Linked DNA regions of Danio rerio. The protein of the gene in region 2 interacts with the protein of the main gene of each other region in a pairwise test. Links are inferred from orthologs where the notes say so. Each region holds a gene or a part of one and is shown on either strand. Other genes may lie near its edges. The genes, in order: vaspb, zyx, cass4, tuft1a and imp3.

Evidence for each region.
Region 1: the proteins of zyx (region 2) and vaspb interact in binary tests that used the Homo sapiens proteins (3 or more experiments, as listed by UniProt). The link is inferred for Danio rerio from reciprocal best matches to the Homo sapiens genes ZYX and VASP.
Region 3: the proteins of zyx (region 2) and cass4 interact in binary tests that used the Homo sapiens proteins (3 or more experiments, as listed by UniProt). The link is inferred for Danio rerio from reciprocal best matches to the Homo sapiens genes ZYX and CASS4.
Region 4: the proteins of zyx (region 2) and tuft1a interact in binary tests that used the Homo sapiens proteins (3 or more experiments, as listed by UniProt). The link is inferred for Danio rerio from reciprocal best matches to the Homo sapiens genes ZYX and TUFT1.
Region 5: the proteins of zyx (region 2) and imp3 interact in binary tests that used the Homo sapiens proteins (3 or more experiments, as listed by UniProt). The link is inferred for Danio rerio from reciprocal best matches to the Homo sapiens genes ZYX and IMP3.

Annotation. Positions count from the first base shown.
Region 1 is NC_133193.1:43,694,976-43,698,544, forward strand, and holds part of vaspb (vasodilator-stimulated phosphoprotein), read right to left. Parts: intron 2,738-3,569; coding exon 2,710-2,737; intron 2,618-2,709; coding exon 2,578-2,617; intron 2,411-2,577; coding exon 2,354-2,410; intron 1-2,353. UniProt on the Homo sapiens protein: Ena/VASP proteins are actin-associated proteins involved in a range of processes dependent on cytoskeleton remodeling and cell polarity such as axon guidance, lamellipodial and filopodial dynamics, platelet activation and cell migration.
Region 2 is NC_133191.1:17,422,773-17,426,941, forward strand, and holds the start of zyx (zyxin), read right to left. Parts: upstream 2,801-4,169; 5' UTR 2,582-2,800; intron 1-2,581. UniProt on the Homo sapiens protein: Adhesion plaque protein. Binds alpha-actinin and the CRP protein. Important for targeting TES and ENA/VASP family members to focal adhesions and for the formation of actin-rich structures.
Region 3 is NC_133186.1:29,872,962-29,877,204, forward strand, and holds the start of cass4 (cas scaffolding protein family member 4), read right to left. Parts: upstream 2,834-4,243; 5' UTR 2,676-2,833; coding exon 2,670-2,675; intron 1-2,669. UniProt on the Homo sapiens protein: Docking protein that plays a role in tyrosine kinase-based signaling related to cell adhesion and cell spreading. Regulates PTK2/FAK1 activity, focal adhesion integrity, and cell spreading.
Region 4 is NC_133191.1:23,754,922-23,759,179, forward strand, and holds the start of tuft1a (tuftelin 1a), read right to left. Parts: upstream 2,870-4,258; 5' UTR 2,812-2,869; coding exon 2,755-2,811; intron 1-2,754. UniProt on the Homo sapiens protein: Involved in the structural organization of the epidermis. Involved in the mineralization and structural organization of enamel.
Region 5 is NC_133177.1:10,337,465-10,341,463, forward strand, and holds the start of imp3 (U3 small nucleolar ribonucleoprotein protein IMP3), read right to left. Parts: upstream 2,842-3,999; 5' UTR 2,745-2,841; coding exon 2,608-2,744; intron 2,493-2,607; coding exon 2,385-2,492; intron 1,791-2,384; coding exon 1,716-1,790; intron 1,049-1,715; coding exon 969-1,048; intron 1-968. UniProt on the Homo sapiens protein: Component of the 60-80S U3 small nucleolar ribonucleoprotein (U3 snoRNP). Required for the early cleavages during pre-18S ribosomal RNA processing. Part of the small subunit (SSU) processome, first precursor of the small eukaryotic ribosomal subunit.

The DNA.
Region 1 (3,569 bases), on a different chromosome or scaffold from region 2:
GTGCGCTTGATTATTGACGTGCTTTTGAAACCCGATCCTATCAGAAATAGACGAACGTGAGAGTGAAGCGCGAAAAAACAAAGGAGAAGCCGGAAAAAAGGAGCACTTAATTTTTTCAGCAAACGTGAACAAACTGCCATGTTTAACTATCATAATCGCCTTCTGGACTAATATGAAGTCAGAATGATGGAAATACTCCCTAACAGAGGCTTCATGTGCTGCTGAAGATGACAGAAACAGATGAGAGGTTTTCACTGACTGTAGGCTATATTTTGTGTTGTTTTTGAGCCAAAATAAGGACTAAATGTCTGCTGTGTGTAGTTCTTCTGTAGTTGGTAACATATCTGCGACTGTAAGGGTCTGTATTTGTTCATACATGTTGCATTTATTTTATTTTATTTATATAATTGCAGACGTTACAGTAGACTATTTCACACTGTCATTGATCTGTAGTTATAATCAAATCCTGTTCATAGAAAAGTTAGTAATAAACATTTATACAGAAGTATTTATGTATATAAAGCATCTCATTGTGAGAAGTGCTTCTCAAATAATACAGGTATATGAACAACCGGTACAGCTTTACTGTAGACATTTTCTTGAGCGAAAATGACCTCCACTGAAACTTTCTGTCATACACCACGCCCACCAAAAGGGTACCCTTGGTAGTGGAAACGCAAGTGAGATAAAGATGACCCGTACTGACCCGAACCGTACCGTACCAGTCAGTGGAAACGAGCCATCAAATAAATTTGTTTGTTTAAATTCAGCCCATATAAACTGTTTGCAACCACTCCAATCCAGTGAATCCTTTTTTTTTCAGTGTACCTTTATTAAGCTAGGACTCATTAACATGACAAAACGTGTCAGTAATGACATCAGATAAAAATTTGGAGTGGTAAGAAATCACTACATTTTAAAAAAACGTTTAAACTCGCCTCTAAAATCCACTGTGTGTTTATTGCGTTTCGTCTTCTAAGCCGCAAGTTACTTATTTTATTTGATAAAATGCCCACAGTGGCTTTTCCTAGCTCAGCAAATTACATTTTTCTGTCATATTTGGTGGCAGTTTATCAGGAAGTAAATGACTCTTTGGATGAAAATTGCGCTTTATTCGCAAATGTTTTAAGCATAAAAATAAAATCTAATTAGCATATTTGGTTGGAAACATCTATTCATGTTAACATTTATTCAGACCAAAAATATCTATTCTTATTAAAGATTTTTTGATACATAAGCTTAAACTGTAACGCTGAATAACATAGTGGCTGTAAATCATGGTAAAAATCTATGCTAGCTTTTGTTAAAGTAACAGAACACATGTAGAGAAAAAAGCTACATTCAAAGATATAAAGGACTTCAATAGATTTAAACCACTTTAAAACTTGACCTATATGTTCAAATTACAGTAAACCACAGACATGTTAGGGATATTTACAGTGGGGGAAATAAGTATTGATCGCATCATGTTTTTTTCTTAGAATAATATTTCTAAAGGAGCTGTTGACATGGAATTGAACCAGATTTTGATAAAACCCAAACAATACAAACATAAAAAAGAAACAAAAGATTTTTTTTTTATATTAGTTGTGTGTAATAACAATGAAATGACAAAAGGAGAAAGTACTGAACTACTGAAATGTATTTAATACTTTATATGAAGAATTTTGAGTTGATTAAGCTTAAAGATGCCTCTCATGTGGAGAATATTTTTTTTTCTTCAACAAAGAGTAATAATCTTGATGGTTCTGTGGGTCTCGTCTATCAAATGTGATCTTGATTTTGTATTCTTTATTGGATTCAGATCAGGTGATTGGTTGGGCCATTCTACAGCTTGATTTTTTTCCTCTGAAAGCATTTGAGAGTTTCCTTGGCTGTGTTTTAAATCATTGTCCTGCTGAAATGTTCACCCTGGATCCTCTTCATCCTCCTGATATTGTAGATGTTGGACTGAAACAGCACTGTTAACTTACAATGAGGAAGAGCAGAGGGTTGCTGAAGAACTGCAGTGAGATTTTTAGCTGCTGTCTGGGCTTTCACTGCCTTTCTACACCTTCCTTTCTTCATGTGTTCAATATTTTTTCCCTGCGTCATTTCCTTTTATTACACATAACTATATTTGTAAACCAATTAGTTTTGCTTTCCTTGCACATGTGAATTTCTTTTGGTGGTTACCAACATCTGTGGAAAAATTCAAAACAGCACCTTTAGAAATATTTTTTTCTGAGAAAATGGTGACTCGTTGAATACTTATTTCCCCCACTGCATGCAAGTATTTGAAAGCAGGAGAACTCGGGGAGTCGCTTACAATGTTAGACCGTAACCACAAGAGCGCATACTGTAGTAAAAGTACCTGGCAAGTGGACTAGATGAAGAGGGTGACTCCAGACTTCTGGGTGCTGAGTTAGTCCTGTTTGAGACATGTACTGTATATATACACTTCACTTTATACTACAGGGCCCTATAGAGAGTCACACTCAACTGCTGGAGTCTTCAGGACATTCAGTGCTGGTGCTTGCTTTAAACAAGATCAATATGTAACTAACACACATCTAAAGTTTGTGAATGAGTGTTTACCTGGGCATGGTGGCGGATTTTTCCCATGGTCTTCTAAAGTCTGTTAATAAAAATGATAGAGGTAAACATTAAGAATATTCTTGAGTGTCTAATTGATCACAAATGTCAAATCAAAAATGTGTTTGTTCTTACCGCCTGGACCTTGAGTGTCGGAATCATCCTGAAGATCAGCAGGCCAAGAAAATAACAAAGAAGGTAAAAGAAAAGAAAAGAGTGTTCAATATTAGTGCTGCAACTCATTTTAGTACTTCCATTTACAGCAAACGTGACTTTATTCAATCTCATATCTATGGAGAAGTACTAAAAAGCTTCTAAGGCTTTTGCATGCAATTAATAGGGAATTACCATTATTATTACTATTATTATTATTATTATTATTATTATTATTGTTGTTAACATTTTCCGGAATCATTAAAGCACAAACCTACAGCCGACTTCATTGGTCAGTTCAATATATTGGTCAGCTCAATTTCGTAAAACATATTGCATAAAACATATTAAAAAAAACTCTTAATACTCTTGCATGTGCATAGGCCTGTCACAATAATTAACATATCAACTTATCGTACAATACTTAAAATCATTGTAATTCCGCTCAGCCTAGCTCCGAAATAGAGCATATTTGTAATGCAAAGAGAGGGAAAGGGTCGGCAAAGGACCACGAGCACTGTGAGCAGCATGGAGCTATATGTTGGTGCACTTAACCACTAGGCTATTGGCGCCAGCAACCAAGTACTCTTTTAAAGAAATGTGCCCAACACTGCAGATGACTTGCGTTGTGATGAGATTTTTTAGTATCACCAGGCCCTAATTTACACTTTATTTACATGTAAATTTGGTACATGTATTTTTATTCCTTTAAAATACAATTAAAAATATCAAGTAAGAATGTTTACTTTGTTTTCTAATAATACAACAAATATGACAAATAAACAATGTAAAAACTTCATAAAGCCAAAAGCGAGAGTTGAGCAAAGTAAGTGTAATGTCCA
Region 2 (4,169 bases):
ATTAACCCCACACTGGCTATTCTACTTGTTGCTCTTTACATATCTATAGTTCTAAATTGTGATTTCCCATCCTGTTTGAGCACTGGTTATCCAGATTTAATGGTCCAGAAAAGTTCCTACCTTGATCAGATTGATCCAATCTGATGTTGCTTTGAAAAACTGGCTCAAAAAGTAAGCTGGATTAAGTGATCATGGATTGCAAAAACAGAATTACTAAATTCGTATCAATTTTACCCAGATTAAACCTTTTGAAAAAACGGACCCAGAAGTCATTTATTTTCAATGGGAGCGATAAGCAGCGAAGAGCAACGTGGCTCATCTTCGCTGGTGTGGACATCGAGGAGAGTTGAAATCAAGTTGATTTTATAACCCACAACTTGAGAAAATTCCAGGGAACACAGTAGGCTTGGGAAGTAATACGGTAATATGGCATACTGCGGGATCTAAAAATAGCATAAGTGTCAATTTCAATACCGTTTTACCATCATAAAAAACAACGCACTTAAATAGGAGACATTTATTAAATAATAAATATTATTTACTTAATGCCTACAAATGCTTATGCATGATTGTCATCACGGAACAATGTGGGGGAGAGAGAGAGGTGAGGTAAGATGGTGAGTCGTGCACCAAGTGACTTGCAGTTTGTCAGTATTTCCAGTTTCGACCGAGGGAGACGTGGGAAATACGAACTAGAGGTCTGCATTCCCTCTGCTGTATCGCGGGACCAGTCCAGATTTCTTGCGGTGCAGGAATAAATTTCCGAATAAAGTGCGGAAGCGGTCGGTAACTCTGGTGTAATTTGAGAGAAGGCACGCGGTCTAACAATATCGATCCCAAGAGAGCACGCGCGGTTTAGGCTCCAGACAACATTTTGGTGATGCTGTCTGAGCCTTTCGTAATAATTTTTTACAATATGCACAGTAATACCGGATACCGAGGTAAAATAGGGAGGAGGTTTGACAGTATCAAAATTTGACTACCACCCAAGCCTAGACAGTCCTGTGAATTTTGGTTCTGACCACAGTTGTTCCCAAGCGCTTGTTTTTGATTATTGATATACGTTTTTCTCCTTAAAAAAAAATGGAATCTCACTAACTATAATGACAGTATTGCTGCTTTAGAACATTTCAGATATATTCAATGTAGAATATGTGAACATTTCAATGTAGTGAATTTTGAAGCTCTCTCCGGCTTAGCTATGAAGACAGCGTTGTCGTCAGGGCGGCAAGAGCGAACTTTGCCTCTCACACTGCCTTCGTTGTGAACACAGTAACACACTTACTACTCTTAAGTACCTTTAGAAGGACTTTTACTCAGTAAAGTGAATAGTAATCAGAACAGATATTTTACTCGCACAAATTTTTTGGCAATCAATGGTACTTTTACCTGACTATACATTCCACCACCTATCTATATATGAACAAGCCATTTAATACAATAATAAGTATTATTAATACTTTAAAACAAACATTAAATAGCAATCCACAATCATGTACAACAGGTATAAGAGATAACATTTTCCTGTGTAGAATTTGTTAACAGGTCATGTGGATGCACTTTGAAGACCAATAAAACGTTTAGAAAGCACTTTGAAGACCAACAGTTGTTTAGAAAGCATGAGCAGTGGTTCAAAAATCACTACAGTGTTGTTGTCAAACTTTTTGTCCTAATGTGACCTGCTGCCTACCAATTTGCTAATACATAAATGTCCTTCCAAAAAAAAAAATAATAATAATTATATATATATATATATATATATATATATATATATATATATATATATATATATATATATATATATATATATATATAATTGAAAGGGGAACAATTATTTAAACAGCATAAGTAAATGTTGGAGCTCACTGTATTTCCCATTAGAGTACGATAGACGCATTCACCACACATGCTTATTAAACTGGAAAATCCTAAAACACACTTGCGTTGCCTAAAGGCCAGTAAATCCCATAGTCATTCTTACAGGCACTCCACCCAGAAAACTTATTCGTTCATTCACAACACCATCCTCGCTTTAAATTTTGAAATGATGTAATTGTGGTCTTGTTCTTTAGACTCGGAAACTTGTGTAAGTTCGCTGTTCCTGATCGTTTTTAATCAGACATAACAGCAGTGCGAGCAAAGGAAAACAAGATGCTTTCACCTTATATGGACATCTGACTGGAAAACCAGTGAAATACAGCTCTATATTTGAATTCAATAAAAGAAAACCAATTGTGTTAAATGACAAACACACTCATGAATCTTTACATATAACGTTAACGTCACATCTATGAATAATATTACACAATTAACAATTTTAACCCACGCGCCCCACCCCTCACCTTTTATATAAACATTTTAGATCATATTATTTCACTTATATCAGTGCTATAATGAAGACACTATGCGTTTGCATTTTAAATACAAAACACCACGACTTACAATTGTGCTATTTAACTTAATCGATTTCTAACGTTACAAACCACCCCGAATGTGTTTGAGGTTTTGATGCGAATGCAGATAGCAGTGTGTGAAAACCAACAAACGTCAGAAAAAAAAAAGATGTGGAAAAGACACTTACTGTTCGTTTTCTTCGTAAAAGATGCTGTTAAGCAGTAGATACAGATTGTCTAATGCAGAAACCGCCTCTGATTTCAACCCTTACGGGGCTTTTATGGACAAATATCCTTCTTTGTGAATATCCTTTCTTAATTTATACCACTTTATATTGCTGTATAGGCGTTAAGCACCATGCTGTTAAAACTAGGAAGCTCTAGAGGGGACGTCAACCAGTGAATCTGCTCCGCTCACATAAACTTTTTCCTAATGTACCGACTCTAGACACACTTCCGGTTGACGCTTCCGCATTCCGCATGACCGCTGGAGGTGGGACAAAAACTGAAGCCAATGGTAACTACTGTTAAAAGAGATCTGCACAATATGTATGTATGAATTTGCTGCGATTAATTAATGAATTTATTTATTTATAAAGAGAAAACATAATTGGTTAAATAAATTATTCTGGTCATCAAACATAATTTAAAATAGGAAATAATCTTTATAAACTGCTCTTTTAATTCTGTTATAATAGCAGGGTTTTCAAAATTTTGTAAGATATAGGGTGTTCTGTTTTTTCTATATAGTTCATATACTTTCATATATATATATATATATATATATATATATATATATATATATATATATATATATATATATATATATATATATATATATTTATAAGTATACTGTTTGGATTTTGTGCCAATTTGTTACTTCAGTAGTTATGCACAAAAGCCACGGCAAAGTAGCTAATTAAATAAAAATATAGCAATCAGCTTTGACTTATACCTGTCTCCTTGTCGTGTTTTAGTAAACCTCTCTTTCTGTGAACCAAAAAACTATTTTGTTTTTAATGAAACTGTTGGACTGTTCTACCTCCTCTACTCATGTTTCTTACAGCCCTCCCACTACATGTCTCTTGGAATGACATCATCCCTCCATCTAAACAAGTTCTTTCTTGTTTGGCTTTTTGTCTAAACCTGAATTCATGTTGACATTATTTATAATAGGCATATGCTGTACCCACCATAAGGGACTCTGGACTGGCCATATCATTATTACAATGCTTCCATTTTCAAGTTTCTTAAATTAAGGGTAAAAACAAAGTTTGAAAAGGCTGAGTGACCATATACAGTTTTTGAACACATCAACACATTTCATACATGTTTCATAATCTAGCAACAGTCCCTATAAGGGACTCCCGCTAGGCACAATTGCCTCGATCCGTGCTAAAGCGAGGTTGGCCTGCCTCCCCCTCCTTAGACAGCCTGCCTTACACTGCATCTTTACCTACTGAACCTAAGCATGCTTACTTTATCAATGATGCAACTGTTCAGCTTAACAGGAAGAGAAGTGCTCTCGCCCAGTATATATGCTTTAGTTATTTCGTTTTAGTCGTTTAGGATGCAGTAACAAAGTCACATATTTTGCAGAACAAATCCACAACTATTGATTCTCATAAATTATCATAAAGTCCTCGTGCTGCAGGTATTAGGAGATTTGCTGAGGGTGCAACTGATGTTCAGCAAGGGGTTTGCGTTTTTAATAAACTATGACAGTTCACGTTCTTTGAAAAGTAAGAATGATTAATAAATCCATGTAAAACAGTC
Region 3 (4,243 bases), on a different chromosome or scaffold from region 2:
TGAGGGAAAAACCTGGAAGTAAGACATATGAAATATAATACAGAAGCAACATTAATAGCTTTAGATCTAGTAAGACTTCTTCTTTTTGATTTTGTAAGAAATTAATTATTTAATGCGGAAAAAGCTGCATTGAATCGTTCAAAATGTAAGAAATAGTAACAATTATGTTTTACATATCTACGTATATGCTCATGTATACAGCTATTTATGTGTCATTTTTCTATATGACTATACTTCTCATTTTAGGCGGCATGGTGGCTAAGTGGTCAGCAAAGTTCCCTAACAACAAGAAGGCTGCCTTTCTGTGTGGAGTTTGCATGTGTTCCAGTGTATGTGTGGGTTTCCTTCTGTCTCCCCCACAGGCCAAACACATGCAATGTAACTTCATTTGGATCGGTAACCTTGGAGTGTTTGGATTGGTAGAATTGGATAAACCAAACTGGCAGTATTGTGTGAATAAGAGAATGTGTAGGTGTTTTCCAGCACTGAAGGTTTAGTATACTTAGAATTACTGTACTCTCAGGGCTAGGTTGCAAATGGAAGGACATCTGTCGATAAAGATGTATGTCAGAGAAATTAGCGATTCATTCGGTAGCGACCCTTGATAAAGCAGGGAATAAGCTAAAGGAAAGTGAGTGAGTGAGTGAGTGAGTGACTTCTTTTATTCATGTAGTCATGTTTGGGTTTGAGTCAATTTTTTTATAAAGGTCTGATAATTTTTCATTAAAGTTTCAAATAAGATATTATTTGATAATATTATAAGATAATAATAAGTCATCATTTTTTCCATTAAGTAATAGTTTACTAAATAGTAATAGTAAATAATTGACACTATTAATGTTTCAATGCACTTTGAAAGAAAATGCAGCTTTGGAGAGCAAGAGAAAAAACATATTTCATAAAATAAATTCACATAGCTTCCCTAAATCTTAGATTTACACTTAAGAAATCCATAAAATAAAGAATGGACAGGCGGTTCATAAACCTATAAATCTGTTCTTCAAAGTTTCTTCTTCATGCTTCAAAGTTTTAGAAACAGATATCATGGCCTGATCATTTCAAAAGTGCAAGTAAATGTATAAATACACACGAAAAAAAAATCTTTGTTGAAAATAATACAGTGCTAATAAACAGATTTTTTATTTACTGTGCAAAATTGCACTTGATACTCTCAGCATGTCATATACTGGGCAAAATATTTAGCCACCTGTTGTGATCTTCTTACTGATTCTGGCTTTGAGCAAGACATGCGTGAAATCACAAACCACAGCCGTGGTCAAAGTCACAAATGAAAATCACAAATCAGCAATATTAAAGAGACAGGTCACCAAAAACTGGAAATACTCTCCCTTCACTTGTTCATGTTTGAATTTCTTACTTCTGTTGAACACACACACACAAAAAAAACATACTTCAAGAAAGCTGAAAACCTGTAACCATTATCTTTTCATACTATGGAAGTCAATAGTGACAGGTTTTTAGCTTTTTTTCATGAGATATTCTTTAGTGCAGTGTGTGAATTATACATTGACGATTGGGGTAGGGGTGGGGGGAACACATGCTTCAGTGAATCAAATTAATAAATTACATCTAATTTACTTCATTTTCAGTGTTTTGAGGGATATTTAGTGACTATTTTAAAGGCCACTGTAAGTCAAACTATAGAAATGATGTGTCTGAATGATATTTCTCCTAGCATTGACTGGTGCGATAATGCATTTACAATGGTATACACCATTATAGAGAGATCAAATGTATGTGATTATACATTTAATTATTAAAAATATTAATAATCCCCCCTCCCCTCATATAACTTGTTTTGATGTACTCAATCCCCGCCAAACCCCCCTGTAATTCACACCCTGCTTTAGTTCAACATAATTTGCAGGTTTGGAACCATTTGAGGGAGAATAAATAGTGAGAAATGTTTATTTATAGGTGAACTATCACTAAGTTCTTCACTCCTCATACACACACCACAAAATATTAAGAAAGTAATATATATATATATATATATATATATATATATATATATATATATATATATATATATATATATATATATATATATATATCCTGGACTTTTGTTTCTTTCAATAAATAGCTCAATTAAATAAGATGTCAGCTAAATAGTGAGTAAATTTTTTATTTTAAGGTGAACTATCACTAAGTTCTTTACTTCGACACACACAAACCACTACCAACACCACAAAATACACCAAAAAGAGCCAGGATTTTTTTCATTCATTCAACAGCAAAAGTGTTGTTAACCTACCAAAAATCCACCTACAACAACAGAGATTTCATTCCTCGCTTAAAGCTGTAACCTCTCCTTTCAAAAGCCCAGCTCGTGTTAACGACAGTCATAAAGTGCCATATATTCTCTCTTCCTTTCACTCTCAGGCTTCGCGGCATCACATTTCACAGCAAATTTAGGGCTGTGAGCGAGACTGAGGGCAAGGGTTACCGGCTGACAGCGCATCTGAACGGTGAAAACCCAGCAGTTGCTTACCGGCGAGAAAAAAATAAACCCGGATCTTGTTTGAAACCCTGACAGCACGCTTGAAGCTTTCTCTGAACATTTCTACTCATTCTGAAAGTCTGAACACACATCAGAAAGAAGATGAGAGGATTTTAAAATGAATAATAATAATAATAATAATACCGACCTCCATCTTTCTGAGTTCAAGCAGTTTATAAATCCCATTCAAAAGTCCATGTTGGCTTGACGGTTAGCATCTAAATCTGTTTGTAATTTTAATGTCTGTTAAAAGTATGTTGCACGTTCTTCTCAGTCTCTCACACAGACACACTCATACACACACACATATTGGACAAATAAACGGAGAGCGCAGACAGTTCACAATAAGGGGCGGGGTCTGAAGCGCTCACTCATGATGACGTCTCGCTCTCATTAATTCCAGCCAATCACAGCCCTGTCTGACAACATCTCCTCCTCCAGTTTCTGCAGAAAATACATGTTTTTAGGAAGTTGGTTAAACTTGAAACAAAAAAAAGTTCTTTTCCAAAAAGAGAAAGACAAAGTCGGGCAGTTTTACTATGACTTCCACTATTTTTATTGTTTTATTTTTACTCTGGGCTGCACATGCTTGAGCTGAGTTCCTGTTTTAATGGTATGGATTCTTCAGGGGCGGGATTTTGTTGCTGGGACGACAGATTATGGCAGTGGGTGGGGGTGTGGAGAAAAACCAATGATATACGGTAGGTCGTGGCCAGGGCCAGAAAGTTATTTCTTTTGAAATGCAAAATTTACCCCCTGTACCGAGAGATTGGGGCTTATTTACTTTAACAAGGGGCATATTTCTATTTAAAAACAAAGTATTAATAACCATTTTTAATTTCATGAGATTTCTTTTACATCATTGATGTTGTAATATTACATTAATTTAGTTGTTCCAGTGTAAAACGAGCTAAAAACAAAAGGGAAAGTGCTAACGCCCTCAGGATCAGCAGGCTAGCACAGAAACTCCAAATGAAACTGAATGATCTTTTATGCAGTGTGGAGCACAGCACTAATGAAACACCCAGCTGAGGTTTAAATCTGAAAGTGCACCAGGTTTAAAACTATTGATTCTTTAACAAAATAGTCAGCCCAAAGTTGAATAAATGAATCGTGTTGGGTTCGGATCTTTTGCTTGAATGCGTCGACATCAATACGGTACATCACCAAATATGTAGGTCCAGATCCGGTAAAATGTGAACGCGCCTTTCCTTCAGACACTAGCGAAGCGATGAGGATTAGGGGACTGATCATGGCACGAAGATGACGATCACTGACAGATGGGAGATTCGGCTGCGGCTTTGACAAACATGTTTCCATCCATATCTAAAGTATGTGTGTGTTCTTTTGATAAGCTTATTTTTTTTATAATTATTTGAAACTTAAAAAATAAAAAAAAACTTTAAAAAAATTAATTATTATTATTATTTTTTTTTTTGCTGTTCAGTTTTTTATACATGTTCAGTATTGATGAGAGAGTAACACATTTCACTGCAGCTCTTTCTGTGTGGGTGTGTGTGTGTGTGTGTGTGCATGCTCGCGTTTGTGTTTTTTGTTTCTTTTATGTTTTAAACCTATTTCAGAAGTCAAGTATTGCCACAATAGAGCTTATTCAAAGGTAAGTATTATATATGAATGACATACATTTAAAGGCAAAATTATTCAGTCTTTGAAATTTTAATTGTTTTTCAAATTTATCCCATGATGTTTAAAAAAGTAAAA
Region 4 (4,258 bases), about 6.3 Mb from region 2:
GCACATATATAATATATTATAGCATCTAACAGAAAATATTAATAAAAAAAATTGTAAGGGGTACTCATATACAGTATACTGAGAACTGTATACATAGTATGAAACAAAAATTAACATATTAAAGTAACATCATTGGTTTTATTTTCATTTTATTTATAACAAAAAAGAAAAAAAAAATCTTTTCTTTTCGAAAAATCACAACTGGTTAGAATAAAATGTTTAAATTTACTGTGGTTGAAAACTAAATTTTACTCAAACAGATAACTATAAATCATGAATCCAGAGACGATAAGATTATTACAGTTGTCTGATTTAATTTGTTTTAGTTTTTTTTTTTTGTATTACGTGTTTTAGTATAGTAAAAACACACAACTTACACGTAATATATATAATAATATTATTAATAATAATAATGATCATAATAATAATAAATCATTTACATTTCTAATACACAAAAGAGTTTACGCAGTGCCGTAATAATCATTTGTGTACTGTACAATTACTTCCAAGACTTGACATGACAAGGTGAGTGAAGCAAGAGGACATTTTACCACAGCATTCTGTGTAACTCCTCAAGGCAATATGATAAGCCAAATTTCATGTTGTGTACATATTTATTGCTACTGTTCTCTATGTACAGACCTGTATATCACGCAATGATAATTATCATAGACATACAGAGGTAATGCTTATCATACAACCTGCTTCATAATGAGAACTTGATGAGGGAGGCAAGACCTTTCCTTTCACAGACGCCACATAAAGATTGTGTAAACACAAGGTAATTATTTGTTGTTTGACTCGGAATTTCATGTCACAAGTGAAAGAGGTATTGATTGAAGGAGCGGTGAATGAGCAAGTAAATGAAGGACAGAGAAAGTAAACACACATACAGTACACACCAGGTTGAACAAACTTTTTTTTTTTTGTGTAGCTGTTTTATAAAATGGGAAACGCCTTGTATACAGTAACCTGAGGTCATCTGACAAAACTTGGAAAACAAATTAGCTACAACACTAGTTTTTTAAAGAATTTTACTTTCCATTAAAAATAGGATTATTTTGATTTGCTTGCTTTTTCTTCTTCAACACAAAATCATTGAAAGTCATTTAAAAAAGGAAACATGTGACTCTAAGAATGCAACCCATAGTGTAGGTCTTTGACCTTGCTGTTCTTAGTGGGTCCATTAAAGAGCTTCCTGTTGAAAAAAGACTCAATGTTCTGTTTTCATATTTGCAAATGAAATTCATGCAAAAGAGTAGCCTTAACATACAGTACAATACTGTATTTTATCACATCAGACCTGTTGAATTCCTAAGTCAGACTGAATGGCCATTATATTAAAAAGGAAGGAAACCTGCTACAATCAAGTAAATGCTTGAGCCCTGTCTTGCTTCCTACTCCTTTGGCCAGTTTGCGTGCAAAATGCAGACCTTTCTGTTATTTAGCTTATATTGTGTGGTACAAATAGGCTATAAAACCAGTAAGCGCACAAGGCTGCTCAGCAACGGTCATCAATATGACAACCTAGATGGAAAGATCAAGTTAATGATCATCTAACTCGATATAAAAACTCTATATATACAGTATACTGGTGAATTGGCAGACACAAATACAGCTGGTATTTGGATTAACTACCCCCTGTGCTAGCAGAAATGCCTCTCACAGGATATTAGCGAAACCAAATATCTAGTAAGTGACATTAAACCTGATTAAGCATCTGCTGTGAACAGAGAAGGGCGAGTGGAGGTAAATGAGGTTTAGTGCTGCTTGTCACTTCTGTTAATCTATTAAAAAAATACATTTAGATAAACTGCTTTCACAAACTTAAATTTGATAATAATGGATGAATGAAGGACAAAACCATAAGCAGTAGATAATTTCCTAATCTGGAATGCAGAGCACATTTAATATTTCACCAGGCAGAAATACGTTACAGAGGATCAAAGTTCACTTTTATGAGCATGGTGGGAAAATGACCCAGAAACCTCTGGCATGAATTTAGGTAAAATTGGTTTTATATTCACACATTCAATCATTTTTGAACAGTGACAACTTGTGTAATGGTCCACATTGTGTTTACCATGCTACTTTGAATATTCGCTCTGAAATCGCACGTCCGTATGACTTTGAACAAAGGTGTACTTTGATAGTTAATTTCCCTATTTAGTATTTGCAAAGAACACTTTTTTTTCTGAAATTATATTATTAAGCAAAAAGTCTTAACATGCGAATATTAAATCTGGCAAGAAGTGTAATTTCAATAAATACTTGTTTTTATTCAGTATACAGAAACGCTTTACAGTGCCCCAGTTACAAATGTACTAATATTAATTATGTATAATTACATGAAATATCCAGTTCTGTGTTTTTTATAAATACTAAATACATAAATTTAAAATTACACTTTAAAACAAAACAAAAAAATCTTACTGAAGATTTAACAAAACACATGGTTATTGTGGTAAAACCATAACCTCTAAACAGTCATGATTTTGCAACAGTTTAACAATGGTAGCCTATTTGTGTGTATACAAATAATAACAATACAAAATAAACAAGCACCAGAAAACAAGCTGTCTACACTTTTACCACAATAAAGTCATGATGGGTGTTAGTGTGGTGTAGCATGATGTATCTCTTTGGTTTATTTATATAAACTATTTAGTCTTGAAGAGAAAAAATATAGTCAGCAAATCATCCTTTTAGGCATATATATAGGCTAAGTAGTGAATAAGTTGCTACAGTACATACCAGTCTGTCATCCATTCGGATTTCATCAAACGTGCACATACTTCCCATTCGATTCATTTTAGCGTTTCTTTATTAAAAGTTAAATAAGTTAAATAAGAGCAGCAAAAGCTGAACGTCCCTCAGCGCGCGCGGAGTGTTTTGTTGTGTTGTCCGATACGCTGAATAATAAATAGGTTCGGTGCAGCTTTCACCGCAGGCTGAACGGTTTTGATAGACACTCCCCTCCCTCTCCTACATCTCCCTCCCTTCCTCGCAGGTTTCACGGGTCGTTGTAACGCGTCATAGCGTGAAATCTGTCGTGTGACTTCATTTCTTCGGCATGTCTTTCCGTTTGTTTCGCCTCAGCCCGCGGGAGACCGCAACATGTTGATGTGTTTCACCTGAGAGACACGATCTCATTCCACTATCCCGAGGTTACGGAAATTAAGCAATACAAATAGGCAGAACGTGTAGAAAGCTAGACAGTTTTTTATTTTTTATTTTTTTAAAGAATAGATGAAAAATGTCAGGCCTACTTCAGGTAAGTCAGAAACAAAAGACAAGTCCACGTACAAGGTTGGAGTACATGTGGTCATTTTAGTTATGTAGTGGATTTTTTTAGTTAAAGCCCTAAACTGTCTGTGATTGTAGAAGGTTAATAGTTAAATATGTATTTTAAACAGGATAGTTTATTATAAAAAGAATATATAGGTGAAGAGGGAAAATGCAATATGAGAGTTATTAAGTAATGGCACGTAGGCTATGTGTGACTTAACATTCATCTCCATTCCATTTGACGTTATGTCATTTATTTTTTTTGTGACAGGCTATAATTAGTGCATGTATTGCACACTGAAAGTACATTTTTAACAACTTTGCATCATTGTGGTCCAAACCAGACACAACTGGTATTAGAGGAGGACTGATTGATAAGCAGTTTTGCAGCATAGTTATTTTTTCTAGATGTTTCTATTGACATTTTTTTTTCAATTAAACAATTTCAAAACAATTTAAAAAATAGAGACAATTTATTCTCGCCCCACTGCAGTATTATACACAATCTTAATCTGTTTATATCATATCATGAAATATACATACATATGTTAGCAAATACAAGTTCCCTTATATATTTACTCATCTATTGTATGTATGTATGTGTGTGTGCTATATATATATATATATATATATATATATATATATATATATATATATATATATATATATATATATATATATATATATATATATAATATGAAAACATAAATAAAAAAAAATTATAAAGGGGAGGGAAGAAAAAAGAGAAAAACAAATAATTAACAGCCAAACTGCAAATGTTTGGATCCATTTGCTCTATATCACCACTGGCTGCCAAATTGAATGTAATTTTTTACTGTGACCTTTGGTGAAGTACTGAAACATCTCCATTGTAAGATGGTACATAAGATCCATAATCCAATGATTAAAAATTGTTAGAAATTTGTCCTTCCATTTTAACTCTTTAAACAAAATAATTGTATATCAAAGA
Region 5 (3,999 bases), on a different chromosome or scaffold from region 2:
ACTTGATATTTTCTCTCAACATATTAATTATGTGTACAAATTTTTGAACTGTGATCTTTAGTTTATTTGTTGTTAGATTTATTCCAAATTTTGCTTTGGTACTGAATAATTTAATGTATATGCAAAAACATAAAGCATTTTGTAGATATATTAATTCAAAATATTGATCTGTGAGGGGTGTACTTTGCTATATTTATGTAGCATATGAATTACATAATTAAATAAAAAATATATTAAGAAAGCACTGACTGATATAAAGAAGTAGGCTACATTTCTTAAAGAATGACTTTAAAGCTGCAAACCGGTTGATGAATCCGGGCAAGAAAGGTAATTTAAGTGATTTGAACGTGGTATTGTTGTTGGTACCAGACAGGCTGGTCTGAGTATTTCAGAAACTGCTGAGCTATAGGGATTTTTACACACAACTATCTCTAGGATGCATCTATGCTCAACCTTCAGGGTTTCGCGACAGTAATGTGCACGAACAGCTATCTACATTATTTACACTGAACTCAGATTAGTTAGATCAAATGATCTTCAACTTTCTGATATGGAACCAATTTAAGCGTGGATGTTTAGTTCGGCTCATTGAAGTCAGGTTTTTGACTTTAATCCCCTCTTTTCTAAACCAATTTTAGGAAATTCATTTAGACACGTTTTGTCTGGAAACCACCATAGGAAATGGTCTAAGCAAATCTGATTTATATCAGTCTCAAATGCGTTTTAAGGGCCATTTAGCTATCCGATCACAGAAAAAATGCATGTAGTGACCAGGTGTAAACAAGAGCAGTTTAGAGGCATTTAGCAGGTGAATCAACTTTTCCAGAAACTTCAATTTGCCTAGCCATTTTAAACTCCAAACTAATTTCCTTTTGGCCTGATTTTGATCAAAACGACATCATCCACCCATTTAAATATAAGAATATGAACATATGCAGAGATCAGCAAGACTTGTGATTGAAGGATACGGCCCTGCTCAATGAAGGTGATGGCGTTCCTTAGGTTCTGAGCCATGCGCAGTTTCAGCATGATTGTGGGAAGCCGCCTCCTGTAGAAAAGACAACATTGAACAACATTCAAAAATTGTCTGCATCTCCTGCACTGCATAAAAACACTCACATATTAGTTGTCAGTGTGCAGGACTTGTGTAAATTATTTTATTATTCAAATCAAAAAATATATTGAAATTTGAATGTTTGAATTGAAAGTTTATGGTGTCATTTCAACAAATGTACGGTGCTGCTTTCAAAAACTCAACAACAACAAAAAAAGAATTTTTTTATTTAAAAACCTTACATTTAAATCTAGTACAAGAACTATGAAAAATAATGCACAACAATATTTCAGAAACCGCTTTTGAAGATTACCAGAATTGAATTCATCAAATTGTTTTAAAGTTCTTTGAACATGACTGTTTAAAACAGAGTAGCACATTCAAAACATCATCATTACTCTAAAGTACATGAAGGGCTTTATTTCATGGCACTATATATGTGTTTGTATGCATGTATGTATGTATGTATGTATGTATGTATGTATGTATGCTGGAGGTGCAAATTTTAAAGGTGCTTAATTTAAAATGATTAGTGATTTAATAAGTCTTTGAATCTGGTGTCCACGAAAGCATGGGGACCCTAAACATTAATAATTAATGTTTCTTGATTATCAAATCAACATATTGGAATAATTAAATAAAGCACAGTAACTTTACTCACCTGCAGAATGCAGATGCTGACACTTCATTTGCGAGAGAGAGGTTCTGTTTGGTGGGAATCAAACCGACACTGTATCTGCAAAACAGAAATCTTACAAATGTAGAAACTACTAAAACTTTAGTAAACTCCTTACAGAATGAGGTGTACACAAAAAACCAAGGTCAACAAGCTTTTAAAAATCGGAATAATATACAGATTCACATTTTATTTACTGTACAATTTTTATTCTGAACAAAAAATATAAGACATCTATTTTATCTATCATAAATTTTACCATGACTTACAGATAGCGCTAATAAACATGTATTACAATAGTTTGTATAGAAATAAAATCTTGTTTCGAGTATAGTTAGATTTAGAATTATTAAATAACATTAATAGACTTAAGATTTAATACAAATTAAATTTCGTCAAACAAACAAATAACTTTAAATATAATAAAGTTCATAAGATTCCTTTTAAACCTGTTTTTAATCATTTTTATTCTTTGCTGTTTTTCTTTTCTTCTTTCTTTTATTCATGTTTATGTAAAGTATTTAGATTACCTTTGTGTATGGAATCTGCTATATAAATAAACTTGTCTATTATCGCTTATGCTTTTATATATTCTAAACTAAAACAATTTCTGTATATTCATGACAATAAAATGTGACAGGTTCCCAAACTTACAGTTTTTCCAAGAAAAGGGCTGTACTCTGAGATCTGAATCCATCTTTTGCGTCCAAGTCCCGTATTTTCTGCGCCAATTCTCTGATATTTCGACTAAGTTTGTTGTATCTAAAGAGAAATCACGAATGCATTAATTGATAAGCCGCGTTTTATTCACAGTGATGTATTAGACCCATAACTTCAGAGAAACACAGTCATTGATAGAAGCATTTTCTTTACTCACTTGGTATAATCTTCCCTCTTCTCAATATGGTATTTTCTCAACACTTTAACCTCGTGTATATTGTTGTCAACCTCCCAGTTAATAAAATCAACTTTCTTCAAGAGTTTCTGCTCGTGAAATTTTAATTTACGTACCATTTTGCTAAAAAACACGGGCTATATTTATGGCTAAACGTGTTAATAACTTGCTCACTTCAGCTTACGCACGCGTGCTTTTTATTCACTGTGGTTTTCTGTAAAAACGTAGCTGTTAAGCTCGATATCGCCGCACAGTGTTCAGGAGGGAAACACTATAATTTTTAAATAAACAAATAAATAAACAAATAAATAAATAAATACATTTATCAATTAATCTATTTATTAATTTATTAATTAATTAACGCTTTTATCCAGAGCGACTTTAACAGATAAAGAATCCAACTGATCAAACAACACAGCCTGTCAAATAACACATTTTACTTAAAATTATAACTTTATAATAATAATATTAATAATAAAAAATCACAAAACAAATAAAATGGCCAAATAAACAGTAAAACAATAAATTAAGTAGCAAAATATACTATACATTTTCATTTCAAAACTTTGGCTACTCGCAGCTTTGCAGTATGTAAACTGATCAAATTAGACAGATTTTGCGCTGACGTAAACGTATTATAATTGATCTAAGTCATCAGGAGATGTCACTGGGGGAAAAAATGTATTTTCACATGACAGGAAAACCGACACGACATAAATCACTATCAAACCTTAGTTTCATCTTTGCAGAAAGTGAGGTAAAGGAAGTGAATGTTTATAAGAAATGGCGATCATATCCATCCATTGGACGGCGTGTGTGAGCCTCGAACAGGTAGGGTACAGTACAAATTAAAGCTCTTTACAGACATTACGAACATTATAATAGCCTGTGCTACTTGGAAATTCAATCATGACAGCGATTTTCATTTAAATGTAAGGACGTTCATGTAGCCTACTTTATGCGCGGAAAGCTGACAGAAAGTTTGATTTTGGAATTTAGAACCAGAAACCTATAAACTACGAACAAACGTTTTAGCTTTGCGAGTGTGTTGAAATAAAGAGAGAAAGAAATTTGATATCTTGATGGTGATAGTGAGAATGTGCTCTGGGGAATTTCTTTCATATATTTTTTTAAGTGTTGGAACTTGAACTATATGTAATATCATTAATACAGACTGTATGCAACAGAGTCTTTATTTGACAAAAAAATAAATTTCAATAAATTTAATTTTCTTTTTAATAATATTATTAATCATTTTGCACGTGTCCTTGAAATTGCTGTCCACCCCATCATGTGGTAAATGCCCCTTTAAGAAACCCTCTGATGTACTCATTGGCATCCCCATTTTGCCTTCTCTTCAGAGTCTCAGTCTAG